Linked DNA regions of Lepisosteus oculatus. The protein of the gene in region 2 purifies or fractionates together with the protein of the main gene of each other region. This does not show direct contact. Links are inferred from orthologs where the notes say so. Each region holds a gene or a part of one and is shown on either strand. Other genes may lie near its edges. The genes, in order: pdik1l and ctdspl2b.

Region 1 (16,026 bases), on a different chromosome or scaffold from region 2:
AACTAGCAGTTGTGGTATATGTTGCTATTGGTAAGAATGATTGGCTTGCCTGCTGTGTCTGGCAGGAAGAAAATAATTTAACACTGTTCACATCTGTGTAGGCAACAATATGCAACCTTCTGAAGCTAGTTGAATGTCCAAACAGCATTTCAAAATATCCAAATGAATCTTGTTCCCTGTGGTTTTTCCTTTGAACTAGCAGCATTTAAAAACTATACCCTTAGCAAGCACTGTTGGGAAAGCCCTCAGAGGCAGGGCAGCAGCAAAGTTCTTTGTGGCTCTTAGTAAGACATGCACCAAGCAAATTCAAATAACCACCATGAACTTAACCTTGAAAATTCAATTTTTTATGGACCACCACTGCAGTTATTTCTACAGTTTTGTTAACTTCGTTTTCATTAAATTGAATCCCTGGTTTCAGACGGCAACCCTAGAATAGTGTTGTTCTCTTGAAAAGGTCTGATGCTCCATTGTCTACAAGTCGTTCAGGAGTCACAGAAAAGTTATTTAGTGTGCGTCTTGAAGTTTCCTTTAATATCACGTATCCCAGTTACATTCTTTGCAGGCGATTTTTACTAATCTCAACTCCAGCTCAAAGGCGTCAGGCCGCTCCTGTGGATTGGCGGCCAGCATCTCCTTAATGAGTTGTTTCATGCTGGCATTCATGCTTTTCTTCTTGACGGGGATGTGGAGTTCCATTTTGGGGTTTTCTAAGAGAGCTTCCCCAACAGGCACAATCTCTGAGCCCTGCTTGACATAGCTCCCCAACAGTTCTTTCTTGGTCTCCGTATCAATGAAGGTGATGCGCTCCAGCATGGCCCAGATGATGATACCCAGAGCAAAGATGTCTGCTTTGGCTGTGTAGTGACCCTCCCACACCTCCGGGGCCATATAAAAGTCCGTTCCACACGCTGTAGACAGGAAACACTTGTTGACATTAGCGGGCTCTTCGGGGTTAAGCCCAGAAGATGAGCACACCTTGCTCAAGCCAAAGTCTGCCACTTTGAGCGTAGGCTCAGGCACGCCTGTGGGAGTCCTGCTCTGCGAGATAAGGATGTTGTCTGGCTTGAGGTCCCTGTGGATGATCTGGTTCTTGTGCAGAAAGGCCAGGGCACTGCCCAGCTGGAGCATGAAGCTGGTGTTGGTCTTACGGCTGGGCTTCCGTGAAAGCAGGTAGGCGTTCATGTCTCCCCCGTCGCAGAAGTCCATGACAAACCACAGGTAGTAGGCGCTACGTGGATCAAAGGCAATCTCTCCTTTCAATGATGTTTCCACCAGCTTGAAAATAAAAAAGTGATGTTATTTGTCAACACTACCTGTACAGATATAAGAATTTCATTTTATTGCAGGTGATAGCTTGCAGTGCTATAGTAGGATTGCAGAGATTGATATCAGCAAGGAATCTCAGCCTCAGAACAAAACATGGTCATTGTGCTAAAAAAGCAATGACAGTCCTCCAGAAAAAATGAAAGTGCGCTGTGCAACTTTCACACAAAAAAGGATGAAGTGCAAATAACGCTTTCTATTTCTTACAAGTGCTAAATACAGTAGATTCTATGCAATTTGTAGAGAAAAAGGTCACATGAAGGACACGCAGATTTCAATATTTTGGATTGATAAAAGAGGGGAAATCATCCATTTTATACAGAAAAGCCTATAACAAAATGAAATGCATTGTCTGCATTAGAAAACAATTGAGGCAGTTACATAAAACACCAACAGAAACATTTCTGCAAGAAACCTGGGATGGCTGCCAAAATTCCTGCCATGGCAAAGCACTGAAGTGACTAACAAGCTATTTAAAATGCTTTCATGCACTGCTGTGATTTCATAATCAAGAATTAAAAGGCACTCTCACCGAGATGTCAATGTATTTATTACTTCGGAGACGCTACATGCACAGGATAAAACAGTTTAAACAGGAGGACGTTGCAGTAACTCCTGAAAGGGCACCACCTGACTCGCATTTAGCCCTGACCCAACAGCTGGACCTACAAGTGTGCCCAACCTTTCTCCACATTAAGGGCACAGTGGTGACCAGCCAAAGCACAAAGAGACACACAGACTAACACCCGTCACATAATAGCCCAAGGAGAAAGAGACCTTTTGAATGCAAGAAAAAAATGAAAAAATAAAACCCTTTCCAAAATCTGCTACTATTCCTCTGTAAATGTTGTGGTTAGCACCGATCATGTGAACACTGGACTGGAGAGGAATGTGCTCTATCAATGAAGTGCAGACAAAACTAAAGAACAAGGACAGAGCTAAGAATGAGATGCATCCTAACTGCTGACTTAGAAACATCCGGTAGCTTGTGAGTACCTACAAGCTCCGACCTGCAATTTACCATGTACAGTATAGGTGCTACACAAAAAAATAGTCCAGGTCACAAAATTCTCAGGAAAAAAAACACCCATACTGTAAAGAAATTCCACAGTAAAATGTTAATACAATTAAACATGTCCCTTAATTAAAAGACTCAGATTATATACAACTTATATATTTAATAAATAATATTTAATACTATTGAAAGGTAAGGTAAAATTTATAAAATCATTAAAATTGGCTTAGTTGACACCATCATCCAGGGAGAAGAAAAAAACACTTTCAGTGAGATTCTAAAACCTGCCTATTAAATAGATACCTGTATTAAATCAAATAAATAATTTATCTAAATAATATATATATATAAACAATAAATTATTGCAGTGCTTATGGTCCTCAATGATTTGGTGATCAGGAAATCTCTTAATAGTCAATTAATATTAAATATCAGTATTCTCCAACAATTACACTGGAAAAATCAAGAGTCACATCTTCACATTTGCTGTATGCAAGGTTAACGGCAACCTTGCATGTTTGCAGGACATGACCCCGAATAAACCCAGGAAATTGCAGCAGTGGGTGTCATACAGCAACCCACAGGTGTCTCCAACAAACTCCACACACCCACATCCCAGTGGGGGAAGCATGATTCTGTTTTCAGTGCCACGGCACCCATGCGGAAACACAGTCAGGCTTAAACTAAACTGGGGCCGGCAAACGTGAGACAATAACGAAACTGGCGATCTTCAACAAAACCAACAGCCGCATACCTGCAGGTAGAGCGAGGAGCTGGAGCCATGCGTCATCCTCTGCACCAGGCTGTCTCGCTGCAGGATGCACTCTTCCAGGTGGATGACGTTGGGATGCTGGCTCTGGATGCTGCTCAGAGCCCAGAACTCCCGCAAGGCCAGCTCCACGTTTTCAGGAGCGTGGCACCGGATCTTCTTGACGGCCACACGAGCTCCGGTCTTCCTCACCAGTGCCTCGTACACCACACCATAGCTGCCACGCCCCACCTCCTGGATGAGCTCATACTTGGGCTGGCTGCTCACCATTCTCTCGCCACCCACTCGCTGAAACAAAGCAGACAGAGAGCTGGAGAGTGCTCTCCCAAATCGACAGTACTTTCATAGTTGGCAGTATGAAAGGGGCAGCAGAGAATTCATTAAATATTTGAATGTACATAAAACAAGTTTGATGATTTCAGCAATAATATTTTAAACTACGGTATCATCCCAAATACACCTTTTAACTCCCTAAACCACTAAACCTTTTAATATATAATTTGGGTTTATTCTTGGGTTCACTTGGGTTAATCAAATTTTTGCAGTATTTTCCCCTCCACTATTTTGCTTCTGTTGTAGAGTCTGACAGTTCCACGTTACAACACAGTTTGCAGAAAACTGCTCAGATATAAGAATTAATGCAAAAGCATTATTGTGGTGTATCCTACTGTGAAATCAGAATCCTTTTCCTCATCTTAAGCAACCAGAAAAAATATTTAACAGCAATTCTTGTTAAAAGTGTGCTGAAAAACATATCTCATTATATTAATATTAGGCCCATAGTGCTACTTAGTACAGGATAACAATAAAAAATTAAGCCAGCTTTGTACGTTATAACAGCTTGTCTCATACCATGGTAAAATTAGATTTAAGAGAAAATGCTATTGATTGTTAATTCCTTTTCTCAACCTATGTCTGACACAGAGCTCTACAATTTGCTTTCACCTTTGCACGTGGATACATTCTGGACTGTCATTTCAGTCCACAGGCTGTGATGTTGCAAAAAGCACCTGATGTACAAAATAACCACATGTACACAGCCTCTACTTCCTTGATTGCAACTTGAGCAGAGCAGTCTCTCTTGGCATGCAATTCGGTCTCTTCCTGTCTCAGCTGTAACGTTCTGGGCCTCGAGATAAATAAATGGGACCTTGTATAGAACCAAAGGCTGCTCTCAGTGGCAAGTGAGAATAAAGACTAATCCCATGAATTTAGTCAACCAACAGTAATGCTGTTAAAAAATGCAATTCTTTTAGCATCTGAGGTATATATATATAGACAAAACAACTCACAATCTGAACTAACGGTATTTTCTGTAATACTCCTATCCAAAGGCTGAGCATTATCACCATCCTACACTAACATGCTGACTTGTGTCCAGGTTTCTCTCGTGCTTTGTTTTAAAAGGGGGAAACTATTCTAAAAGCTTTAAAACCTTCACAAAGATGTTGTAAACGTCTCTTAAAGAGCATGCAGCTTCTGCCCTTGCTCGATTTTGAAACGGAGTAGCTCAGTGCCCTGCACTTAATTTTTAAAACACGACTGAAAAATGCAAGGGAAAGCAGCCATTCGCAAACACTCTGCGATTTCCTTTCAAACGTCAGAAAGCAACCCTTCTATTGTTTTCTATTCAACTAGGTCCAGTTTGCAAAGGGCGAGCCAGTGCTTTCACTTTCTGTACCGCACACAGGAGTGTTCCGGGAAGATCCCGCTCCTAATAAAGCTACGAAGCACAACCGTGTGGTAATGCACTGGGACGTCTCGTATTTCAAAACACACCGCTTGTGACAAACGTCAATACTGGAAACTCTCGTTACTGCGGTTTTGTTTCGCGCCTCAACGTCCTTTTTAGGCACCAAACTCTAGAAAACTCGAGTGCAACGTGGTGAAGTTACTGTTGTCACTGTTTACCTATCATTGGGGCTACCCGTCTAAAACACCGACTGGACACTGGACTGCACAATGTCTTTACTCGTGAACAGTGGTAAGGGTATCCTACACGGCGAGGCTAGACTGTCTTCAGCTCATGTTCGACCTCAATGGCCCCTGTCATATTAGTGTGTAAGCTAGGCATAAGCCATCACGTCAGGTTTCTGAAATTAAACCCAGCTCAGTCGTATTGTCGGTAATGGACCGCTCATTAACAGAAGAGTGAATTGTAAGCCCACGAAGTGGACTGCAGCTCCCGCCTGCGGTGTGTGCACCCCGAACCAGAACCAGATCGGGCTCAGCCGCGCAGGTGGCAAGACTGTCAACTAAAACCACAGGCTAGAATAGAGCATGCCGCACGATCACCCTGAGCAGAGCCAGGGACGTGAGCGTGGTTGTGAGCCGTGCAAGTCCTGCTCCTAGCACCCCTGTTCAGAACATGGACACAACAACACCAGGCGATGCCGGCGCATTTGGGATCCAACGAGAAAGAAAACAAGGTTTCGCCCGCACGACAAAATAAGGCCCGCCACCATCCGTGAGCAGCAAAACGTGGCTCCTGAATATTTTATAGTGCAATACACAAACACAATGGGACGACAGGCGTGTTGCTAACAATGTTCCTTCACACTGAAGCGAGCCCCTCTTCACAAAGACCGCAAATAAGGAGACCGAGGACCTGGATTGCGTGCGAACACTACGTTAATCTAGAAAGTTGAAAAAATACGAAGGTTACTACAATTCCCCTCAGCTCTTTCGCACACAATACTGTGTGTAACACTTAATGGATCCGAAACCACTGCTTATTGTCCCCCGTGTCCCTGGACAACAGCTTTTCTTACACCAGTGGGGGATAACCCGCACGTCTTCATCTACCTGCCACACGACGAGGAAGGCAAATCATCAGATCAAATAAAAATAAACCCCCCCCAAAGGATGTTACCTGATCGAAACGTTTTTCTCTTTCACGGGATCATTTGCTGCCTTCTCCCCCGCGCTGTGGATTTTGCTGGCAGCCATTATAGACCGCCGCGCTCGCGCTCGCTCTCGCGCTGCTTCCCGTGCCAGCGAGCTGCGCGAGTGAGCGAGAGGAGCTCGCGGACCTGCTTCGGAGGAGCTTCCCGGTCCCGGCGCGCGCGCCCGCCCGCCCGCCGCCGCTCACCCTAACGGGAAGGAGACGGTAGCTCTGAAACACACGGAAAAGCAAACAAACAAAAAAACCACTCCCCAGTGTTTTGGAAGGATTGTTTCTGACGAGTGACCTCTCAAAACGAGAGAAACGTTTCAGGACAATTTAACATCTGGGAGCAGATTAGGGTTCCCCACCCCCTTTTTCCTCCATCACCCAACCCAACCAAAACAAATCTCTCCTCCCTCCCTCTCCCTCCCCTTCCAAGACAAAATATTTGACCAAATATTATTTTTTTTTATTGAACTATACAAATGACAAGCTGATACACGAGAAGAAGAGACACTACGATGGTATATTTAATAGCAGGGGGCGACGTCACCCCGCAGCCACGGCCAGAGCTCGTATAAGAAACCATTTTCAAATTCGGTGCACGCGCCGGGCATCGCTCACTCCGATAAATCCGGAGGGGAGTCATTCAAGAACTCCCTTGCTCAAGGATCGTTTCCCAAAACATAGATCCGCATTTAAATAGTGTAATAATTAATATTTTTTTCTAAATAACACGGTCTATCCTTGTCTAAGATCTGACACGATATACTTTCCGCGAAAACAATTGCGCTGAAAGCCCTCTAAAGAAGTATGGATTGGTTCGCTCCAAGTGGCTCAGGGACGGGTAGGCTTATTTTAAAAGGGTGACAAAGGAGAAAGAAGTGTTTGTATCCTGAAGAAAATGGGGTTCGTCCCTCATTTAAATAGACAGATAACAATAAACCTCACATAAAAAAGGAAGTGGAATACAGAAACGCTGCTTGCTTTACACCTATTAAGTAACGTTTAACGAGAAAGACGCAACCGCCCCCCTTATTTTTTACCCTATGAAATATTCTCTTAAAGGGGCCGCTCCAAAAACAGAAAGTTCACATTAGGTTTTTAATGGGAAATCTTAACAGAAACAAACATATGAAACCTCCCAGGCAATCTAAAATGGCTTACCTGATAATGTTAGAAACAGCTCATGTACACTGGAATGGTCATACTGTGACACATATATTTCAGATCTGGTGTCTTAAATAAGGGGTTCATGGAAGTTCACAAAATGTTTAGTGGGACTAATCTTCAATCGTCAATTTAAATCTATACATAAAATCTATCAGCGTTCCATATGTTTAAAATAACAAAAAAGTAATGAAGAAACACCCCACCAGAGATCCAATCCCAACCTGTTCTCCTTTCAGGAAGGGTTGAAGTACAGGGGTCAAGGGTCAAAGAGCCTGGATTTACAATATTACAATATTTAAACCGGTGGTTCCCACTTCTCCAGTCTGGTGAGCTGGGCATCCACGTCATAACTGTCACATTCTCATTTCGCAAGAGAACCGACGTTGCATCTCTCTTACCCCGATGAAACTGCGCATAAAGCTTTTGGAACATCTAGAGTTTTCATTCTGAACCGACTGCTCTATAAAGAAAGCGGATGGATATTTAACTTGTCAGTCTCGATGTGTAGTGCATAACGTGGACTGGTTGGAGACTCCCTGGAGAGGGCTGCGAGAGTTTTTGTTGTGTGAGGGTGTGCGCTGTCCCTGCTTCCCTAATGGGAGGTTCTCAAGTCAGGAAGGACCCACAGCAAGGGCAGCAGGGGATGTCCAGCACTCAGTACTGTGCAGTCAGGCTTCTTTGAGACACTCCAAGTGGAGTTCTCCAGAGACACTGCTGGCCAGGCTACAATATTTCAACCTTCACATCAGTCTTGGGGGAGTGGTGTGGCTCTTTGGTCACCATGTCAGGTGACCAGTAATTGCCAGACTGAATATGACTGTAACATCTTGCCAGGTTAGAAATGGCTGTCGGTGAGCAACACTGGACTAACATAGTCCAGCCTCCTATACAATAAGAATGTGAAAGTGTCATTAAGTGGTAAGTTGGACATATTGGTTTCTTTCTGTGTTTTTCTTTCTTGATTTTCACCAGGCCTGACATTCAACACATTAAGCCCTCTCCCATCACCTGTGCCCAACCAATTCTCTCAGTCACAAAGTGATTTAGTGCTGATGCTACAAATTCACTCGAGTGTATCGCCCGGTCAATCATAAATAATCAATTAATCAAACTGAAGCCAAAAACATCAAATCAATATTCAAAATCGGTATGATTTTTTTCTAAAAACACACAACATAGAATAAAAACAAGTTCTTTTTTTGCACGGTATACAGATTTTTTACATTGCAATAGACAAATAACATACATTTTAAGTGAATTGTGACAGAAACACACACTGAACTATTACATGAGTATTAAGCCACTTTCTGGGTTAAATAATGAGAGGAGAGGTACATATTAATATCCTTGATACTTTAGCTAGCCAGCTGGTTTGGCAAGGCTTGTTAAAATTATGCTTCTGGTTGGCGTCACAGACAACAATGTTAACTTCTTTAAGCCATGGTCCTCTTATCTCTTCCCAAAAAGTTTTGTATACTTTTTGTACTGATGATGCTCAGACCTTCCTCCCGCTGTTACTGTCTCACAGCCATCTTCTTCTGGAGGCACCGCCATCATCTTCAATCACCTCTTGATTGAGTCTGGCCTCCCTTTCGTCTCATTTCCCCCTTTTGTCGTCCTCTCTCTCCCCCTCTCTCCACCACCGCCCTCCTCTCCCGCTCCTCCTGCAGTCTCAGTGTCCCTCCTGCCCCAGCTGTCTGTTTAGACAGCTCTGTTGATCTCTCCGCTCTCCTCTGCTTCCTTCTTCCACCTTTATAGTGCATCCCTGAAATTCGAACAATTCCCAGACCGTAACTTGATAAGCGCACTTATGTTCTGTAGACATGGGAGACACACCACCAAGATGCTCACATTACTGCTTTGCACCCATGCTGTATACAGCTTTATTTTTTACTGTGTTGCATTTATTTTCTTAATACTTTTTAAATTAAGCTTTCTGAAAGCCAGTTTAAACAGAATGCTGCAATATTCTCTGTGAATCTTCTTTCAGTCTCTTCTACTGGGGAGGGGGTGGACTCTTTAACGTTTACAGAGAATTAAACAAGAGCTTACTCTCTTCTTTCCTGGGTGAAAAGATTGCGGGGTTTTCTGAGGATAGTCTAGGGCCATTTCTGAATTTCCCATGCAGATAAAAAAAAAACCCAGAGTAAGAAGCACCAAACAGAAAGTACATATCCTGGATCTTTTAGAATGAAGGCAAAAGACACATGTGGTTCTTATATGGACATACTTTTATTAACTAGAAAGCAAGTTGTAGATGTTTTTAAACACTACGAAACACTGTGATCACAGTTCTGTTTGTAATGCATGCTTCAAATACTTAAAAAAAAGAATAAAAAACCCAAACAATCCCAAAACCCACCTGGTTTGGTTGACACGTGGGTAATTATAAAGGAGTTTAAAAGGAAAAACACCCCAAAGCTGGAGTTTTACACATAAACCTTTGGTTTATAGCAGTAAACATAACTACATTCTTCGGTCACTTTATATACAATCTTTTGATTTATATTAGGCATTTACACCAATAGAACGCACACCTCTGAATGAAATGTCTAATTTAAAAACAAAACAAAAGACACACAATAAAAGCACAGTTACACGTACACAAGGGCCTCTGTGCAAGTCATACGTGTTCCTAAGTTGTGCTTAATATGCAACCCTGAGTATTGTTTAAAATGAAGATGACACTTTGGTGTGTATGGTGTTCAGATAGCAGGGTATAAAGGAGAGTGTGGCTGTTATCTATTTCCCTGCAAGTAGAGGATCTGAAAGCACAACGGTAACTCAAATACCATGGCAGACATATTGCACGTCACCACAGACACTGCATTCGGCGATTTGGTTTCCTTCTTCTTTTACAGGAGTCTTAAAAGCCACACAATCAATTGCAGCAGGAAATACAGCAGAACTGTCCTTACCCCACCCAATATGTCTATTGGAGCAAAAACCCTTTTGTATTCAAGCTTCAGCCTTTTCCCTCCTCTCCTTCTGTAAACAATGGCAATCTGCCCTCTTCCCCTGCCCAGAAGAGAAACACACAAGCCCTACTGATGCTTCAGCACGAGGAACACTTCCCCAGCTGTCGTCCCAGAGCCCAAAATGGCTATAGCACAGACTGCCGCAGGCGAGTAGTAAGGGAAATGTAAGGAAGACTCCCTTCATGTGCACTAAATGAAGTCTTTGACTGTGGGTCCGCAACCTTTACTTTCAACATTAAGCTGATTTTTCCAGTGATAAAAAAGAATAATGAGATCTTCCTAGCTGTCGTGGGTCCTTTGGTTTCTAGAGGGTAGTATTTTCATTAGTGTTCTGAGGCTGTAGAAAAATGTAGAACAGGATAAACTTTATATTTTATAAAGACTAACTCATAAGAAAAAACATACCACCCACTGAACACCTTATTCCCTACAATCCTGATTTGGACCTGGCCAGTAGAACAATCCCCTGGGGTATAAACCATTCTTATCTGACAAGAGATGGAGCCACAAAACCTTAATGAGAGGAAGAAGCCCGAGTCTCCTTTCAGGTCCAGAAAGATTTTCTTTTTTTCCCCCACAAGGAACTACTCTGATTCCAAACCCTAGGACAGAGTTGTTCCATAGCCACTGTCAGGTAATGTCATTAGTAATGAGATGGGGTGCTCACTTCCCTTCCTCAAGGGAAGCAAGAACCAGATACTGGAAGGGACAGTTTAAAGCAGCCAATCAGTCCCACTCTGCCAAGCAGCTGGGAGTTGGGAAGGTATCTGAGTGCACAGAAAAGGAGCACAAAAAGACAGAGAGAGCATGCAGGAGGGTAGCCAGTTCTGGAGTCAGGCCTGCGAACATGGAGATGCAAGCTAGCAGTGATAACACTACCACCCCTCCTTGCTGTCAATATAACTCATGATCAGTATGAGGAAGGAGAACAAAGCTATGCTAACCAATACCATAACCATTCTGGGACCCGGGGGGTACCCTTGACCAAGCAAGACCTAAAGGATGAAGGCCTCTGGCAGCATTTGGCCACACAAGCAGCAGTGAACACACCTGGCTGCCTTCTGTCATCTCAGAACACACACGCAGGACTAACTCGACACCAACGGCCACCCATCTGGGCAGAGAACTGCATGCACCGGCGCTGGCACAGCTGGCACAGCGTGTGTGGACACCAGCGCGAGGGAGGAAAGAAGATTCACACATCGACACCCGCGCTGCACAATTCTGGAAATGTCAGACATCACAAAAAACAAAAACAAAACAAAACTTTCTACACGGGAAAAAAGGACAATGTTCTGGTTGCCCCAGTGCAGCAAAACCCAAAGGGTAACTACAATGGAGGCGAATTGCCTTTGTCCCTATTCACACTACAATATCCTGAGGTAGACCTGTATAGATTGCTTACAAGGTTTTTCATCTTGTTTTCATTTATAATAAAAAAACAAACCCACCACCACAACACAACACTAGGACACAACGGGAGGAATCGGGAAGCATGGTGTTTAGTACATTCCTAAATCATCCTAAATCACTGGTAAGACGCTGCACAGTTTGTCTGATACAAGACTTACTACAATCTTACTGTAAATGTCATATTTATATTTGAGAAGGCCTTCCAAGCTAGGAAAATCTTCATACCTTGCAGGATGAGCCTATGCCATATTTTCTAGTTCTGTCTCCACTGAACTCTCAATAATATGTCATCAAGTCATAATTATGCTGCCCTTCCGTCCCGCTGTGGGAAAACTGCACCTACTCTAATCCCCCTAAGGACTGAATTACAAAAGAGGAAAAACATCATACAATAGAACAGTAGTATCTGTACAATAATCATATACAAGAGCAGAGTGCAACAGATCCACTGGACTTAATGCATCATGATTATATGGAGGCATATCGAAAGATTATATATTTTATATTAAAAAAAGAAAAGGTTATTAAGCATTCATTTCAAATGTCTCAGTGCTATAACTTATAAAAGGTGATAAACTGAAGAACACTATGCAAACAGACAAATACTGCTCCCTGGTGGTCAGAGTGAGTATTTCCCATCAAAAGCTGAAATGATTTCAAATTTGGGAGTTCAGTATTTTTTATATGTTTAATTTTAAAATAAGAATTTTAAATCTGGTTTTAACTAGGATCATCTTAAATTCTTCCAAGGAAGTATCCTGGTAATCTTTCAAGAAACTGGAACTCCACAACATTCAGATAAAAATAAATTACCATTTTGACCATAACCCCAGACACCTTGTGTATCCAAGATGCATTTTGGAAATAAGGAAAAGAAACATACATAGTTAAAGATTATATCAGCTGATTTGAGCATCAGTTTCACCAATTAAAATAATGAGTTAAAGTCAGATTTAGCACTTATTGTGTTGTTTCTATTCAGCAATATTTGATTTGTAACAAAGAAATAAGCACTGTCATGGCTGGTTAAGCAAATTTGTGCCTGTAAACAGCTTAATACTACTGTCAAGGAATATCTACAAAAGGACCATCTGTACAAATAGATGACAGATCTTAACTCTTAGACAAATCAATACGTGCTTCAACTAATAAACACAGCTCTTTTTAAATATGTCCAAAATCACAAAAATACACCTACAACCTTATTTAGCCTGTTGTAATAATCAAGTCCTTTAGCCACTGCTTTCAAGTGTGCTGTACTGAGGACTGCTGACTGTTGCACTTGCTCTTCTTAAAAAATAAAAAACAATAACAACACTTTTCTATGCACAACCAAGATATGATTTTGAAAAAAAGATTTTTCACATCTTTGGGCATACAAGCAGGTTCTTTTGTCCCTAACTTTTTACAAAAACACAAAATACAAACCGAACAATTATGAGATTCCATTGTGTGTAGGAGACTATTGGAAAGGGTGGATGTCAGAAAACACATCTTACTACTGACAACAGCTCCTAGCTCCCAGAACACAGCAGCGATTCTTATCTGGTGGAGATTTGCCTGCTTTTCCAAGCAAATGTTAAGTTATTAATGGATCTTTTTAGTCTTTTCAATAACTGGAATTTTTAAATATATTCCTGTTTCCAGTACACTACATTCAAAATATAAATATACACAAATCAGAACAGCTGTGCTCAAGACAGAGTATGTTTATGGCATGGGTTAGGTCAAAGTTCATCCTTAAGCTACATAAAAAAACATGGGAGGCCATGCTTTTTTGTTAAACGTTACACTCCAGAATTGCAGTCCCCAGTCCCCTAGTTATTAGAGCAAAGTAAGACGTGATATTCTACACGCAGTGTCAGAATAAAACATCCAGAAATTGTCTGGTGTTAATGTTTCACCATGTAAGAGCTAAAACTGCTCTCTTATTTAAAATCAAATGTTTGTCAAAACCTGTGCATTTGATCAAAATGTGTTTGTCGCACAAATCCAATTAAGAGGGCTGTTAACTTGGTTTATGTCTGCAAACTTAATTTGCTTCAGGAATGGCTATGCTTTTCAGAGATTCAGATATGGACTCCATCTTACTGGTGCTGTTTGGCAGTTTCAACGTGTCTACCATTTTCCACTGAACCACTGAAAGCTAGCAGAAAGCCAGTCGGAAGCTACTGGCCTGTTGTGTGGTAGGTTTAGGAGCTGTATGACAATCACTTATCCACCCTTTCTATTCCTACCGAAACTCCCAAGACCACAGAAGCCAATTTTAGATATCCCTGAGTTTACGTTTCACGATTCCTGAGAAACAAAACATCATTGCAGTCATAAGGATCTTCGGCAATCTTAAAATATACAAAAATACAGAACAAATACTTTATATTAAAAGATAAATGCATCTTACACATGATTAGTGCAGAGTAACATTGCATTGGTTTTAGCATAGATAAAAGGACTTTTTGATGCTCTCAAGTAGAGAACGGTATTGTAGATCAAAGGTAAAAAAACAGATTGAAATGGATGCCGCTCTGAATCACGAGCAAGCATATTGCATCATGTGGTGGAAAAGGCAAACTGTGGGACAAGACAACAGGTCAAACATAAGGAGAAGTTGTTGAGGCATGGCAGCAAATAAATAATGACTTAAAAGTTGTGAATGGTTCAGAAATACTTACTAAACAGATGGGAAGTCTTTGGCTTCTCCTTGATTTAAAAAAGTCTAAACTATCCTTGATGGGTGCCTAGTCACTGGGAGCCAGCCATCCAAGACAAGCTCTTTATTATAAACTCAATCTGGGATAAGGCCCTTTGAAAACAAACCTAGGAAAACACAGACAGTAAAACATGCAGCAATCCCCTGGAGGCTGTTTGGCAATATACAAAAGTGAAAACTTGGTACCCAGCTCCTTTCCATAATGAACTTTGCCACCACCCCTTTTTTCATCCTAAACTATTCTCACTTCTCTCATTTCCTCTTCTCGTGAAGGAGAGCACAGCATGTCAGCTCTTAGGAGGTATACACAGAATGACTAATGGCACAGAACAGCTAGGACAATGGCATTAACTGTTCTGTCCACTTCTGGCATTCTGGCCTCATTCCTCCACGTTTTTCCAGAAGGAAAGCTGATTGCCACATTCCCACCCATTCCAGGTTGATAATGACGGTTTCTGTATGAATCTTTCAATTACAGAATTGAAATGCGACAGGGCTTCATCCAGTCAGATTCCTAAGCAGCCTTCAGGAGTCTGCTGCCAAAACTCAGCCATGGTCATACCTGTCATTTGTCAAACTAAAAACACATGGCTGTTTATCTGCATCCAATCACAAAGACTCTCCTGCCGGTGATGCCTGGCAATAGCTTTCTGGTAAATGGAGGGCATGAGGCTCCCTAGCCTACAGCTCTTTCCTGCAGGGTGTGCTGCATGTGATGAGCAATGCAGATCAGAAGGGGAAAGGAGTTGTGGCACCAGTCTTGGCAATACTGTGCATGGTTCTGTTCAAAGCAATGCCACGTGCGGTAGGTAAACCGCCTCATTCAAAACATTCATTTGGCCCCTGGAAATCCAACAAACAGCACGTCTTTGGTCGATGCCCCCCTCCCCACCCCTGCCCCTCCCAAGAAAAATAGAAACATTCATTCACAACTGTCTCAATCCACGAACTACACCTTCATCATTCATATCGCAAAGGTGTAACAGTCAGGAAAACCATAACCTTTTAGAATTGCTCTTCCTGTTATTCACATGGACAGTACAGTGGGGAAACCAGTGTACCAAAGGTTCATTTTTCCCCATCTGTTTTATCCATCCATTTCCCAACGGATTATGGGGGAGCTGGAGCCTATCCCAGCAGCCCGGGACGCCAGCCCATCTCTCTCATCTCGGCTCAATTGTACACAACACTTCAGAACGTCTAAAGTTATAATATTAACTGACTTCTTTAAATAAATTGGATTATTTGTAACTTGTTTGGATGCAAATTGCATAATTTAGGTCATTTAATTTTTTGGGTTTAAGACTTCTTTTGTGCACTTTCTCAGTTAACAGATCCCAATGTATTGGTACCCTAAAGGTTTGGGATGAAATCCCTGAAAAACACTGTTGACTCGAAGAGAAACTAAATGAAGTAAAAAAATAAGAGCTTTTAATACTATTTTTTCATGCTTTCTGTAGACTAATTCAATGCACACAGCAGTGCCAAAACAGATCTGCAAAAATGAAGTTTCCTTTAAAGCTATCAAGTGCCAACAGAAGGAACTGACTGAGCCATTAAAAGTAAATCAGTGCCAAAGATCTAAACTCTCCAACTATCCAGCACAGAAGACCTCTGGTCTCCAGCCATCCCGAGCTCTACCTTATATTTGAAACTCACAAACGTTGGAGGAATTTCAAACCAGGACAAACAAGCAATCTAAAAACAGGGGTTTAAAAACTTCTCTTTATAAAAAATAAAGTAAACATAATTCAC
Region 2 (16,001 bases):
TACCCCTGTGTGGGATGGGCAGGCAGTGTGGAGGCACGTGTGGAGTTGGGGGGGCAGGGACCCCAGTGCGACTTGACTCCTCTTCTCCTGCCTTTCTGCACGCATTCCTCCTCTTTCCTGCTATCTTCCCCGTTTCTCTCTCTCCTCTCTCCTCTCTCCCCCCGCTCTCTCTCTATCCCTCTCCTCCTGATGCGGACTTCTCTGCCCCCACAGGCCGGTTCTTTGATGAGAACGAGTCCCCTGTAGATCCGCAGCATGGCTCTAAGCTTGCGGACTACAACGGGGACGACGGTAACGTGGGTGAGTATGAGGCGGACAAGCAGGCCGAGCTGGCCTACAATGAGGAAGAGGATGGTGATGGTGGGGAAGAAGACGTCCAAGGTGAGCTTGGGCTGTGTTTCCATGCCACTGCGTCTCCCTCATTCCCCCCTTGAGTTATCTGGCACCCCCCCCAGCCCCAGCCCCACCCCCATCATCACTACCAAGTCTAACGGAAAATAAAGATCTGTTTCAGACTTGCCAGCTACCTGCATCAGCTGTGTTCTGATTTGTAGACCACACTGGTCTGCAGCAGGAGTTTGAATCTAAAAAATCCTGGAATGACCTGAGCCATTCAGTGAAAAGGGTATACTGTGAGCATCTATTGGCATTTTCTAAAGTAGTGTCGATGCAGCTTTTCGAGACCCAAGTCTTGCATAAGCAGTTGCCGGACTGCAATGGCTAGCAAATATTTCTGTGTGAAGGTCCGTCAAGCTTGAATTTGGAGCTCTGTTCGCGGCAGGGCTGGAAGCCACAGGGCTTCGCCCTTGTCCCGCGGGACGAGCCGGCAGCGCAGGTGGGCCGAGGTGTGGGCGAGTCTCTCGTTCTCAGATAACTCAAGGTGTCGTGACGCCCCCCCCCAGCGCCTGCATGCTTCATCCAGCTGTGCGCATGCCCGAGCGGCTGTCCTGGACTGCGCCACCCTGTGCTGTCCCCCCCCTTCCCCTGTGCACCCCCACGAGGCTCCAGACACAGGCGTGGGCAACTCCGGGCTTCGACAGTGCCAGGCTCCTGCGGGGTCTCTGGGCTTCTCACTGGGGCCCGGAGAAAGCAAAACTGGTTTGACTTCTTATCCACTTCAGTGGTTCAGTGAAGGTGAGATCTGGGACGGGATGAAAACCAGAAGGAAACGTGGCACTGCAGGGCCAGAGTAGCCTACCCGTCTTCACGGTGATTGTTTGTCAGTATTACATGCATGTTGCGTGTGTCTTATGACATAGTCACGTCACCTGCAGTAGAGTTCATCCTGTTTCGGTATTTCGATATTCAGCTGGGTTGCTTTTTTTTGTGGGAGTGCTGCCATTTCATGAGAACCGGCTTTCTGACGTGGAGCTCCCCCTCTGCGTGCTGTTGCTCTGCGTTATCCATTTCCTGCTCTATGTTCTGCCGTTTCTGTGCTGCAAAGGTTCTAAAAGCACCGCGTGAAGGTGAGCTGATGTATGTATGTATGTCGCTGAGGAAATAAGGGTCTAGCGTTGACGCCTTGTGCTGACCACGGTTCAGAAAATAATGAGCTCAACATCATCTTTCCAGCAGCTCAGCTGGAAAAGTATCTGGGTTTCCAGATTTCTCTATTTTTTTGCTTAGGCTTTATATTACAAAAGACAGTAAGTTGGGAGAGAGAAAATGCAACAGCAAGGTGTCCTACATATGGTCTTGTGGCGTGGACAATGCAACAGAAGGGAGAGATCCTATTAACCATTGAGTTATTAGGGGATTCTAAAACATGGTCCTATCAGTGCCCTTTCTGTGATGCTGTAGACTACTGTGACCTTATGACCTGCAACCTCCAAGTACTGTTTTCTGAAGGAGCTTCCTGATTGGTTGCTGGCTTCCATTGCAGTGGTAGGCAACATACCAACTTCCTGCCCAGATGAATCTGGGGGAAGTCCAACACTGGCACCTCAAGGCATCGCTGCCCGTTTCCCAATTTGCCATCCATGTGCAGTTTTTCCTTTTTCTTAAAGAGGGGTTTTCTTTCTTCTCTTGTTTTACAGATGATGAAGATCGAGAACTTCAAGGAGACCGTGCTATAGATTATGGAAAACGACACCAAGCCAATGATATCCTATAAGCCTGTGACTGGAATCATCTTTTCAGGAAGATTTAAGACTCTGGAGTAAAAGAGACAGGCAAAAAAAAGAAGTTGATAATTTCTTGGCCTTCTATTTCACTGGTGCTTTAGGTCTGATTTCTGGTGGGCTGTCTCTTAAATTGAGGAGGTGGCAGCTATATAGTCCTTTTTTTCCTTGAGGTGTCCTGTAGGGCTGTAGAATTGGATTGATGTGGCGCAATGGTACAGTATAGGGTACATTTCAGAACATTTTTCTGTATATTCTTGTGTATATTTTGTACTTTTTAGGGTTAATGACTTCTCTGTCCTCCGCTGTTATACTAAAGTATACATACTTGTAAGTGTAAATTATTTCTAATTTCAGATTTTCTTAATATAATTAGAATGTATTGCATTGGAAAATGAAGGGTCTGTGTAAAAAAAAAATGCAGCTGTACATTTGTAATGTTTATTTTTTACAGGAAATGAAGGTTTTTTTTCTGTTTAATAAATTCCCAGCTGTTCCGCTTTCTGCTGCTGAGTGCTATAGGAAAGTAGTTGGGGCTGGAGGGACGGTCAGTGGTTTCTGTAATCGAGAGGAAGTGGGACAGATCCTTGACACTGGCCTGGGGTTTCCTGGTTTTTTTGGTGGGTCAGTTCTTGGCAAGAAGAATGTCACTGTTGTAATGGTTTTTTTTTTTAAGTCTTGTTTTTTCTCTTTCAAAGCCAGAGTTTTAATTTTGGAATCTGAAGTCATCTCTTGCTGGTAAAAGTAAAAGGATGGAAAGGCGCCGGGTGTTTTTTTTACCCAGAGCCTGATGGATTGCCTTGGCTGCGGTAGTGACCTGTGACCTGCACACACTGGGCAGGAGGGAAGGCCCTGCTCACAGATTGTGTGGCCGTCGTTTGTTGCTTTTTTTTTGTTGTTGTTGTTTTGTTGTGACCAACCATGGGCTGAAATCCCATGCACGGATACTGTAGCATGATTTGAAATCGGTTTGATATTCGGATAGAGAAGTCCTCATGAGACATTGCCTCTTTGCACGTCTGTGCGAGACTGTACTTGATTTAACACCAGTGCAGAACTCTGGGATAGATTCCGTCACTTTTATATACTGAAGCTGCTTAGCCACATATAAGTGAGTGTAGTTCAGGAATGGTTTCAATTTTAAGGTTTTTAGCCATTTGAATCCTTAACTTTGTGGACTATATTTGTCCCTTCAGTTATTCCGATCATGGGTTTAAGTACTAAAATGGGAATGTTACGGAGGTGTAGTTGACATTTTGTATGCGAGTTCTGCATATCGAATGTTGTCTGGTGTTTTTTTTTAATGAAATCACACCGGGAGCTGGGTGTTTAACAGATTCTGAAATTTTTAACATCTTGGAAAATGATGTGAATGCACAATAAACTAAAACCCAACAGCCTCTTTCTTTGTTTTCCCTTCATGCTCTCTGAAAAGGGGTGGGGGTTGGGGGCAGATAAATGTTGAAAGAATGTGTAGGCTCCTCGGGCTGCTGCAGTTCTTTCCTCCTAAAGATGGTCTCTCCCAGGTAGAGTGAGCGAAGCATTTCTGTAGACCAGTGTTCCCAGCCCGGGGGGACTCCTGTATCTGCTGGTTTATGTTCCCGTGCAGCTGGTAATCACTGGTCCTAATTGGAGCCTTTAATTGATCTGCATTCTTAGACTCTCAATGACCTGTTTCTGCACCCTTTGGCTTCAGAAATGGTGCATTCTTTCCAGCTGCTTTTGCGTACATGCCACCCTGCACTCTTTCCTTGACTCAAGTGTCTTCAATTTTTGCTGTCCAGGACTCTCGATTGGCAATTTAGTTTGTGATGAACAGCCAGGTGCAAATGACAGTGTGTCACATGCTCCCACTATGAGCTTGTTCTTGGCTGCAGAAGACCCACTGGTTACATTTTAGAGTACAGGCCCGAGAGAGGGATGTTCTGAAACTCAGAAATTGTTCTTTTTAGCCACAAGCTCAAAGCCAATTCAAGCACATACCTCCAGCAGCAAACTGAAATCAAATAGCCAGCAATTAAGATGGCTGGGGCAAACAGACCGCCCAGAAGAATACCAGGACCAGGGCTGGCTGCCACCACTGCAGACCAGAGAATGATTGTTTAAAAACAGAACGGTTGTCTACAATTGTATGCAAAGATGATTATATTAAAAGTAGGTTTGGGTGTTGTACCCAGTTACGGCAGTAGATTGCTCAAATGTTGATCTTGGTGGTCTATTGGACATCTCCTGGGGTGGGATGATATCTTTCATGCATCATGACCTCATCAGATACTTACAGTATTCAAAGGATCCTTTTGGCTTTGCCCATGAAGACCTTATCTGGAGATTCACTGCATATTAAAGTCCAGCCGTCCTGTTACAATGGTTACTCAACTGAATTATGGTCTACAGCCGTCTTTGTGACCAATCTTTACGATGATGCTGCAATGTTGGAGAGAGGACAAGCACGACTTTTTGATCTTTCCTTGAATGTTTTCATGCAGGCTCTAGTGCCGTCTATAGGAAAAGGTGGGGCGAGGAAAGCTCAGCTCCTTAATGAGACAACATTAACCCTCTAACCTGATGGAAAGGAAAATTGGCGGTAGATAAAAATAAAACCTATACAGCCTTCATATATACATCTTCACACTTCATGGTACAAATGCTGTATGCTTAAAATACTCGGATTTAGTAGTCATGTTTCACCATGCTAAATGATTAAAATTGGACCTCATATAGTATTTATTGCAGTTGATGTTTTCTTGATATGTTTATGTAACCAATGCACCCCTGTGTATAAGGGGGATCTCAGCCGCCTGGGCTGAGGAAGGTCTCCTTTAGCTTAGCTGGCAAGTTCCCTGTTGCGTAACGCTGGAGACTCGGGTTCGCGCCCAGGCATCGAGGGGACGAACTGGCAGGGCAGGAGTGGCAAGGGTGGAGACCCCAAGAACCGTTGCAGTTAGCTGCGCGGAGCTGAGGCATTGCTGGCAGTGCTCTGCTCCGTCTCCCCAGCAGAAGGACTTGGGTGCCTGCACAGCAGTGCAGCACAGCCACATCTGTGTGAAAAGACTCTGGACCCAAGCACACAGCACTTGGGGGCTCGGTCCGTTATTCCGATATCCAGGTTCCATGGATGTAACAGTGGGCGTGGGAGTTCAATCCAATTATTTTTATTTCCTGAAACATTTAAAAATTCTAGAAGGCGCTTCCCAAGGGAAGAGAGAGGTGTGTAGAGTATGTAGCTCAGAGACGTGCACAATAGGAGGAGGCGGCAGCCCCTGACACACAATGCTTATAGTGGTGGATTGAAGTTTGTTTTTTTGCAAATAGGTCCACAACGTTCTCCAGCTGAGTGACAGCCCCCGGTCCACGATAATTAAGGGTAATACGAGACGTTTGTGGATCGGCGGTTCCCTGTGCTCTTGTGTCCTCATCCTCTCTAAAATCCACAGGGTGTGGGTTGGGGAGCAGCGAGTGGGGCTCTGGACTCATGGGTGGAAGGTGGTGGGTTCAAATCCCAGGTGGGAAAAGGAACAGGTAAAGGTTTATTCTATGCTGAAAAGGGAAGAAAGGAAACACAACGTTTCAGCTGTGGAGCCTTCTTCGGGTTTCCAGGTGGGAAAATGCTGTTGTGCCCAATTCACCCTTATTACTCCAGTAAAATATTCAGTTGTATACATGGGAACATACTGTATGTGAGTCGCTTTGGGGGAAAAAAGCATCACCCATATTAGTAGTTAGTAATTGTCATAGGTGTAGATACTATCGTGTGTCCGATCTGCAGGATACTTCGTAATGGATTATGTAACCTAAGCGATGTTAAGGTACTAGGACTTCTGCTACAGGTGCAATCTCCCAGAACCGCCAGTGTCCCCATAAACCCGGACAAGACGTTAGTAACAGATAAGTGCTCTTTTTATTTCTCTGCCATCTATAGCATATGAACTGCCTTCGTCATAAGATAAGACAAGAAACAAAACACTAAATAACGCCTCGACTGGAGACCGAAGTCTCCATTTTTTGCGCCGTTTGTTATTTTAAATCCCGTTAATATTGTGACCAAGCCGGTTATGGATGTCTTTGGTTTTAAATTGATCCCTTCAGTTCGTAGCAGGGGAGTCAGAAAGATAACGAAGGATTACCCGGCGACAGTGTACAGAAAGATATATTTTTCTTTTTGTTAAGGAATGTGTACACAAAAGAGTAAGACATTCCACCAAATATCTTTAAGCTCTCTAATACACGACTTGGGTTCCGAAGCACTCATCCCTGATACCACCAGCTGTATCTTTCATAATACATCGCCATGACAACCATTTGCATGTTTTCAAAATCCCGGCGAATTTCCACCCCAGTGCCTGTTTTTGCCATTGTGAACACATGCGCGCGCTTCAGCTAGCGGCTTCGCCAGAAAGCCGTCGAGCAGCGCCGTCACAGTCCCAGGTGGAAACTTCTCATCTGCTTTTCTTATTGAAACACACGAATGTTTTTTTTTTTTAAATGCATGCATATCACCGCAAGAGCGCAGTTCTGTTTCCTTTCAAAATACGGAGCCGCAGCCGCTGTTTTTAAAATGGAAGGGCAGCAAACACGTTTAGGAACAAAAAATAATCATTCTGATCGGCTATATTTTGTGGTGTCTCAGAGAGATCTGGCTTTCGTTTGGGGCTGTAAGGTACTGCCCTCGCGTTCCTACTTATCCATTCTCATCCTATTAGTTTCTGGAATTAACAGCTTTCTGATACCGAGCTGCCTCGTCCAGGTAATCGCAGATTTTCGGAACGCGAAAGTAAGGTGTCAGCGAGAATGTGACGGCGTGTTCTTTTTGGGAACTACAAATGATCATACAAACAACTCCGAGACACTAACGGGCCTGAGTGAGATGTCTAGGCCAAAGGGGACCCTGCCCACTGGAAAAAAAATCCACATTGTATTTAAAAAGGGCAAACGCGTTCTCTCTACTTTTGTGGACCAACGAGGAACGTCCTAGCTATTGAACCACGCACGTTATATTTGGGGGACATACAAAGTTGACAGTCATCCACCCACCAGTGCACCGAAATGCCGTACAGATTGAAAATGGCCCCCGAAACAAATTTTGTCATTATTTAAATTAGTCAAATTTAAGATAAGGTAGTTTAGAACGCAGCGTCCTTCACACTGTGGGGAAGTCTCACTACTGTCTGTAGGTCCGGAATGACTATCTTGCATAGTGTCCCCACGTACACAGTCATAGCCCTCACCCCACGCACAAACGGAATAAAACGCAAGCACGAACACGAATGCACTGTGAGTCATCCGTATCACTGCACTAAATACAGGGCTGTGTGTCGCCTGGAACAAGCGGTCTTTTCTAGCCCCGGTCTGTGCCCAGGGAAAACGGCACATCTTCGTTATTGAACGTTAATAGCAAGACCTCCGGGCGCGTTTTACTGAGCTACGAGTGGACGCGTCTTTGTTCAGTCTGCACTGGGGTGGCTGATCGGAAACTCTTCGACCGCTGCCTTCCTATCACAGCATCAGTGAACGCGGCTTTTTGAAGGCAGCTGCATGTGTGTGTGCTGAGGAGGGGCCAGCGTGTGGCACTGCATTTTTACATTTGCATATTTACTTTAGGCTTTGAAATATCTGAGGCCCAGTTGTGAGAATTCCTGGGGCGCCACATACTGCTTTAATGCAAATTTAATTTGACAGCTGTTTATCCGGCTAGGTAATACTCAAGGTGCGTCTCCCCCGTGCGGCCGCACAGTGATAGGCGCGGCAGTAATAACTCGTCACAGTCATAAGCCGTTGCTTTTTAAAGGTGCGAGTGGGGGACAAACCCCACGCTCCGGGTGGCGGTGCTCCGCCTTACATCCCTCGCGTGAGACAGCCCGGTCGATTCTGGCAGGACCCGCGCGAGCCTGCTCGTGCTGTTCTATTGTCTTTTACCTGCCGCGCACTTCGATGCTAATGACGATTAAAAGCCCGGCGAGTCCGTCTGCCTCTCCGGAGGAAAGGCATCCCTCCGCGCGGAGCTCCCTCGGCGTGCCGGAGACGGCCAGCTTCATGTGTGTCATCTTAACATACAAGCATGTTCTCTCAAAGGTGACCAGTGCCATTTCACACACGAGACAGACGGAATTAGCATGAGATCGCGGAGGTACACATTCATCCCTTACAAATCATTTGAATTTTAAACCAATTCACTACACGGGAAAGTGATTATACTGGTGCTCTACTGGAGGAAATGTCGGATTTTTCGTTTTTAGCAAGAAACTCGGTGTCGCGTTTAACCCGACAATTGGATATTAACGGATATTAACCAGCTGACCTCATGCTGGTCCAGGTCAGAAATGCAGATATTCCGAGCGAGCTGTAGTAACGCATTTTTACTCTAGTGATTACTGCACGATTGTTCCCATCGGAGTGCCAAATTCCTATGCCGCCGAGCCACGGCAGCTTTTCTTGTTCACGAATAACTTGTCAAAAAACGTGGGGCTTCTCATGGGGGAATAAACATAATTTTCTTAGCCGTGGAGCCCACGTTGTCTAGTGAGGAATCTTCGGAGGGGATTTGACCAGCGTAATTTAGCATCTGAAGCTCGCGTTCGCGGCTTTGCGAAGGTGTCATTTTGTAACCTTCGTTAACTTTACACGTGTGATACAGAAAAGCTAGCGCTCCTTTACCGGCTTGATGAATGTAATATAGCGCCGGCAGGTGTATCCGAACGTGTTCTCAACAAGCTGATGCGTTATTCACATCTCAGCGTTTCGATGTCGAATTCAACCAGAACTCAAAGGCATGAGCACAGATCGCTATGCGCGGGGTCTCTGTGGGATTTCGGGAGGATGTTCGGGACACGGCAGTGCTTCCTTGAAGGGTCTGAGCAATGCGTCCCTGCCTGTGTCCCCATACACCTACGAGTCGTGTACGTGCCTCCGGGCTGTGGGATTCTTTCAGTTCCCAGTTCAATTCTCCTCCAGGAATGGGGGGTGATCTCCCAGCGAATATTAAATCTTACACGTCAATCGGCACTTTTTAATCGTGTCCGAAGACTCACGTTCCTGCCTGTAATTCTGTAGCCTGTAATTCTAATTTGATGTTTAAAATTGTATATACCCGTCATTTGTTGTTGGTTTTGTTTTTTGCTTGATTGTACAGTGTCTTTTCGGGTTTTTTTTTAAAACGAGCAGAAAGTCCAGTTGAAAGGGATTAAATACCCCGGGATCTATACAAATAAAAAGATGATAAAATTATGACAACAAAATGCTGATTTAATGAGCGATATGAAGCAGCAGAAGGGCACGGCGCTGTGGAGACGGCGGCAGCACACGCGTGTCGCCACCTGTGACGACGGGCTCGCTGGGTGGCGCTGCGGAGTTTGTTTGTGTTCAAAGTGGCGGGGAGGGGAGGAGCGCAGGTCGGCCTGTGCTTGCGCCTGCGCAGCGGGGACACGGCTCATCCGGGTCTCTGCCATTGAGAGTGTCGGTGCTGCGGGTCGGTAAGGAGGCGGGAAATGGCGACTGGAGGAGCAGCGCAGGAGCGGAGAGATTGTCCCTAAACACAGCGAGTCCGAGACGGCCACAGGCAGCAGGCAGCTCTCGCTGCGCCGAGTAGCAGCCAGGCACAGACAGCCACGTCGGGAACGACACACTCCGACACCTGGCAAGTGAGTGGGGCGCTATTCCCGCGGCTTTCCGGGGGGTTTGTGTGTCTGTAAATAAATATTGACTCTTCTGTCGTGCTGCACACCGAGGCGCTGTGTTTTTAAATCTCGGCTTCTTCTGCCTACCGGGGGATTTCAAACATGACATTTTCCGGGCAGCACAGATCAACTAGGCAGACCGAGGTATTTTTTTCCCCTTTGTTTTGCTTTCTTATAAATTGCATCAGCACCGCTACCTGGTTGTTTCCTTCCACTTTAGTTCATCTACCTTAAGTGGTGCCTTTTTATGTATTTTTTTTTGCCTTGCTGCGAACAAGTTGCTTCTACCTGGGGGCTAAATTACTCATTAATGTGTAGTTGAAGACTTTGTTTGGGGGAGTCGGTCTTGAAAGAGAAACAGGTAGTGGCGCTACGGCAGCGCTGGAGCCAAAGTCATGCCTCAATTTAAACGCTTGCTCGGGTGAGTGGGAAAACGGAGCGCTTTTTTTGTGTTAGGCCTTGGCCTCGTCTCCCATCTCCCGCCCCGGGCTTGATTATGAAGCCCTACCGATTTCCCCTTCCCCTTTCCCGCCCACTTCTCTGGCAGGGAGGGGGGGTTCTCGCGTGTGCCTTTTACCAACACAATAAACCCCCCGAAAAAAAAAAACCGTTTACTCTCCGAAAAAACGCCCATGTGTTTGCGATGTAGTGCTCTCGCCAGTGCACGGCTGAAGTTTGAAGCTCTGCAGCCGGGAGAAAGTGCGGCTTTGTTTGTTGTCACTGGAGTTGCCTGGGCTCGGATTCACAGGTTTCATTCCTCGAGCTGCGGCTCGGGGGGCGTTGCTCGCGCGCGGCGCGGTGCTCCTTCTCGCTCCGCTCGGCGCCGTCTCAGCTCGCGCTCGTGTTTACCAGCGGGGCTGCGTTTGCGACAGGAGAGCACGTTAACTTTATTTTTTCTTTAAAAAAAATGCATCGCGAGGGAAAGTTTAATACTGTTTTGTAGCTTTACCAAGCTCCTGCACATTGTGGGAGAATACGATTTACTTGACCGTCGGTGCACTTCGGCAGTTTTTCTAACGAGTCTGAGTATTTCCAGTCGCCGTGGACAGAGGAAATAAGCGTCTTGAGTGCTTTTTTTTAACGGCGTCCTTTTACAATTTCTCTAAACCCTGATACACGTTTCTAATTTTTTTTCCTGTCATGTGCGGTAGGCATTTTAAAGTTACCAGTATTTTTAAATCCCCGTGTTACAAATCCTAAAAACAGTATTTTAAGTTTTATTTGGAAAGGTTTTCGCAAGTGTTGGAAATCGCGCAGCGCGTTGAGTGTCATGTCATCTAGCGATATCCTTTCTTTCCGAATTATTTTGTACTACTAACACTTCACACTTGCAGAGAGATTTATAGCCTGTCATTTTCCTCCCAGGAGTCGCCAGCAGCAGCTGTAGGACATGTTCGTAGTTTTTCTATCTTAAGGAGAGAGCCGATTGCCTTTGAAGTGTCCGTACCTGATCGGAACATGTCACAACCGGTGAATGAACTAGAACTGCCGTTACCTAAGTCGTACAACAGTGTACGTTTGCATGGTGCCTTTCAAGGTGAAGGTTTTGTAGCCTGGCTTGTCTCGCTCAGCAATGAAGTGGAATGTGGACTTCTGTAAGGTAAAGCGCGGCTTTCAAGCCTGCTGCATTCGGTAATGATCCCCCGCCTGCGTCACAGTGACATTCCTCTGCTACAGTCGTGCAGTAGGGATACATCAAGTCTCTTCTGAGACTGGGGGACGGTGGGGATGGAGGGTTTGACTGAGCCTTTTTGACGCGTCAAGAGTTCAGTGTCCTTCCATGTGCTCTGAGATTGGTCAAAGTTGCCGGCACAATTCTGTGATTTTTGCCTGGGCATGTTGGAGCCAGTCGTTTTGTAGCTCACACGCGCTCTGTCACACGAGAGTTTTACAGCTGGGTAGTTTAATCTTCGTCCCCGTTTAAAAAAAAGTGGGATTCTTCCCGTGGTTTGCTTTGAAAATTTCTCATTTTTTCATAATGCCTGAAAATGTATGCAGGCATTATAAAGGAACAAATTAATAATAGGAATATAAATACCACTGCAGCGGGACGAACAAACATTTTGTTGTGCTTGCTTAGAAAACAGCTTGCTGCAGTTTCGCATAACAAGATTTCTCCTGTTGGTGAACCCACTGACATTAATAGCTGCTGTGGCATATACACTGTTGATAGAGATGTGACTAATTCTCTGAACAGACTCAATAGATAGCCAGCAATTCTGAGTGAAGGTCCCCCTGTGTTTTAGTGGTGTTGACCTTTCTTCAGCATAATGCCGGTTCCCAGGGATGTGTTTAAGTGGTGCCTGAAAAGCAGATCTGAAAGTTAAATTGCTGGAGATGCAAATTGCTGAACTACAGGTGATTGAGCAACAATGTTTCCATATAAAAAAGCAGGTGTAAAGTATTTTAGAAATAATCTCAAATCGCATTAGCTTAGTACACAAAAGCACATTCTCGGAGTCCTTCATTAACACTAACAATTTAACTGATTCGATTGTTACACTAACTGTACCCATATTTTGGGAGTTTCTTGGGGGGACCTCAAACCTTTACTGAAGCACAGTGGGCATTTGAATGACCAAGTTGTTCTGATGAATTGGTTTCATTAGATTATCCCTTGTCTTAAAAAAAACAAAACCATTCTCAGATTATCCAGCTCTTTTCTTTTTGGCGATTCAGCAACTGTGCCATGTGTAGGATAGGGTGTCCTGTGTGGGTAAGCATGGAGATGCCATTGGTGGTGTTGCCGTGTGCTGGTGTGATGCCAGTGGCGGTGTTGCCGTGTGCTGGTGTGATGCCAGTGTGTGGTGTTGCCGTGTGCTGGTGTGATGCCAGTGGTGGTGTTGCCGTGTGCTGGTGTGATGCCAGTGGTGGTGTTGCCGTGTGCTGGTGTGATGCCAGTGGTGGTGTTGCCGTGTGCTGGTGTGATGCCAGTGGTGGTGTTGCCGTGTGCTGGTGTGATGCCAGTGTGTGGTGTTGCCGTGTGCTGGTGTGATGCCAGTGTGTGGTGTTGCCGTGTGCTGGTGTGATGCCAGTGTGTGGTGTTGCCGTGTGCTGGTGTGATGCCAGTGTGTGGTGTTGCCGTGTGCTGGTGTGATGCCAGTGTGCGGGCTGTGCCAGCTCTGCCTGGGTCTGCCCTGCTGTGGTGGCCTGGTTAGCTGGCAGCTTGCTCTGCAGGCTGTAAGGTAGGAACATGTCCCGTCATCTTTGTACCAGAGCTTAGCTGCACATGAACATTACTGAGCTTTCAACTTTACTGCACATGGGAATAGGACAGAGGTTGTTTTTTTTACTGGCTTGAAGGACATGGTTTTGTTTTATTCGGGGAGTAAAGGCAGCTGTTTCAGCTGAATGCCTTATTCATTTTTCCTTACTCTTCTGAACCTGCCTCCTAGATGGTTAAATGATTTGTAATATATGCAACTGGAGTGAAATGTATTTGTGTGAATTCTGAAGCATTTTAGAGTGATTTTGTGACAGTGCAACTCATAATGCAACTACAACTACAAATACATGCAAATAGCTTTAGTCTTAAGAGGAAATTTTTCTTCACATATCTTGAATCTCCTTTAACTGTTAGTATCATTGTTGTGCACTAACATAAATGTATATAGTATGAAGGGGAAGTAGGGGGAAAGTGGCATCCTCACTCGTTTTTAGTAACATTTCTCCTTAATTAGCCTCAGGGGAGAAATGCAGAAGACGTGGAAGTAGTGCTATTCCTTGGATGGAATGATATTGGGGGGTGGATGTCTTCTGTGCATTTATAACATCTGTTTTTCATTTAAAAAACATCAAGTGTACAGTTACTAGTGAAAGATGAACTGACTGTCTGGTTCAATTTATGTAGAATACTTAAACTTTTCATGCCTTTTTTTTTCTTTTAATGAAAACGAAAGTGGCAAAGATGTTGCTCGTGCTTTTGGCAGCGCTGCGCTGAAAACTGCAGATGAGTCATGCTTTGTGTTGGTAAAAATAGGCAGGGAGACTCGAGAAGCAACAAAGCTGTTTCTGCTGCAGCCAGATCTGGAGCATGCTTACTGCATGAGCTGAAAGATGACAGATGCTTGCGTTGTTTCTGGCTGCATTTTATTCCAGTGTTTCAGATCGGGATGCAGCATCAGCCGAGTCGTGGGCAGGGCTATTCCCTTGTCCTGGCCAGGCCTGTCAGTGCTCCTGACTCGTTGATTCCCCCATCACCCCTGGCTTCTCCATTGTTCATACTTCAGCTGGCAGCACTGTGCCTTGGGCTGTCATTCCTGAGTGTGACAAAGCCATAAGGATATCGCAGTCTCCAGCCAACATGTAATCAGGTCTGAGATGTATACCGCTCCATTGTACGTCTAACAGGCGTCTGTGATTTCTGTTTGAGACTGTAGTAGAAAGCAGGTATCTACAGTGGTAGCTTGATGTGCACTCTCTGTTACATATTATTTTTCTGTCATGAATTAAGCAATTTAAAACCAAACTTTCTTAGTCTCTAGTCACTGTAGGAGTTGTTGCTTGATGGCCAGGCGGCAGAGAAGAATTCTGTTCGGTAATCAATTAATAAGACCTACGGCTGAGTTAGTGAGGTAATGGAGGGGATAATGATTCTGTATCGGGAGCTTTGTAATGTATTGGCTGGACATGGGTTTGACTGGCAATTTAACACGTGTGTAGGCCTCGTCTACACTGGAGGTGTTTCATCTGGTTTTGCTTTAGGATTGTTGTAGATAAAACAATGCATGCTGACTTTGCTATGCTCCTTGTAATCTGGTGTTTTGCTGGGCTGGATTCAATAAAGATGTTCCTTGCGCCAAGAAACTGAGAATAGGCAGTGTATCAGAACATCAAGATGCTTTCAAATATTTATTCTGTGATTTGGAAGCACAAAACCTTTGATTTCAATTTACAAGCCTGGTTCTTTACTTGAAGTGGACCAGATTATAGGTATAGCTAGTATAAAACTATGTAGCAAAAAGTCAAGTTAATGTATGCAACTAATAATGGTAGATTGAAACAAATTTTCAATGCGGTGAGCACATTTCATCAGTTATGTATTCCCACAGTGTATTATATGAATTTTAGAGAAAGCAGCAGTTTTCTTTTTATTTTACTTGGACGAGATCTACTAGAAAATCCATTTCAGAGTCTTAGGATGCCTTTCATATGTGAAGTCTGTTATAAAATGTCTGTTTTTTAACCTGGTATATACTTGCTTTATGAAAAAATGAGGTGTAGTGTAAGTGATTCTCAAGGATCTCTTCTAGGTACAGATGTATGTTTTGGAATTCATAACAGTTTTTCTTCCCAAAAAGTCCTTCTTTTCTAAACATTTTGAAAACCTCTCACTGCACCGGTATATAGGTTCAGATAGTTTATCTGTTTGAGACGGCTGTTTTTCGGAAGAGAAGGACATCTGCACTACCTTTTTATAACATTTTCTTGTTAAAATTGCAGCAGAATGTGCACTGCAGTTCAGTAGGCAGCACAAATGAATCGCCCTGTCCATTAACAAACAGAGGCAGAAGCTTTAGAAACGTTTCTACTTCGCAATCATACCCGTAAAGCCAGCAGAGAAAGAACAGTGCTTTTGCTTCATGTAGACTTAATGTGAGACATTGCTGTTTAAAGGAGATGATTTCAATTAGTACTGGACACATTAATTAGGAGTATGCCTGTGTAGTGCATCCTTCCCTGTCAATAGGTGATATACAGTAGTTGTGAAATTGGCAGGCTGACAATAGTTTGACAAGTCTGGACGGATTTCTTGGCAGTGGAGGAAAACCCTGAGAAATGGGAATTGTATTCTTTAGGAATGCTTATTTTCAGACACTAAGTCTGACTGCAAGGCTTTATGAAAAACAGTGGGATATGTCATTGTTTTCTTTTTGCTAATCTGGGCATGCATATGATTCCAACTGGTTCTAGTTAAAATGTAATATTTTAGATGGTGTTTTTTTAGGTCTTGCTATGTTTTTATGGTTGGACTGAGTGACTGTAATGCACAACATTAATGGCTGCATCATGAGCGCCGATGAAGGATGTTTGAAGGAGCAGCAACCTGCCTGTGAGTGAGCATGGGATGCAGACAGAAAGGCATTCAGTTTGCTGCATATCAGCAGTGCCAGTGATCTTTTCCCCTCATCCCAGTATTGTTGGGTTGAGTTGCATGTCATATGTAAAAAAAAAAGTAATGTTTATCACTGCAGTTTGTTTGATATAAATA

What was found.
Region 1: the proteins of ctdspl2b (region 2) and pdik1l purify together in Homo sapiens (affinity purification with mass spectrometry; 4 studies listed by BioGRID and IntAct, counting the BioPlex papers as one, with this or other methods). This does not show direct contact. The link is inferred for Lepisosteus oculatus from reciprocal best matches to the Homo sapiens genes CTDSPL2 and PDIK1L.

Annotation. Positions count from the first base shown.
Region 1 is NC_090706.1:5,712,876-5,728,901, reverse strand, and holds the start of pdik1l (serine/threonine-protein kinase pdik1l), read right to left. Parts: upstream 6,400-16,026; 5' UTR 5,983-6,399; intron 3,399-5,982; 5' UTR 3,381-3,398; coding exon 3,096-3,380; intron 1,279-3,095; coding exon 538-1,278; 3' UTR 1-537.
Region 2 is NC_090700.1:47,150,818-47,166,818, forward strand, and holds the start of ctdspl2b (CTD small phosphatase-like protein 2-B), read left to right. Parts: upstream 1-9,476; 5' UTR 9,477-9,750; exon of another isoform or gene 9,751-9,754; intron 9,755-9,826; exon of another isoform or gene 9,827-9,934; intron 9,935-16,001. Other genes in the region: protein GOLM2, read left to right, coding at 214-381, 2,037-2,113. UniProt on the Homo sapiens protein: Probable phosphatase.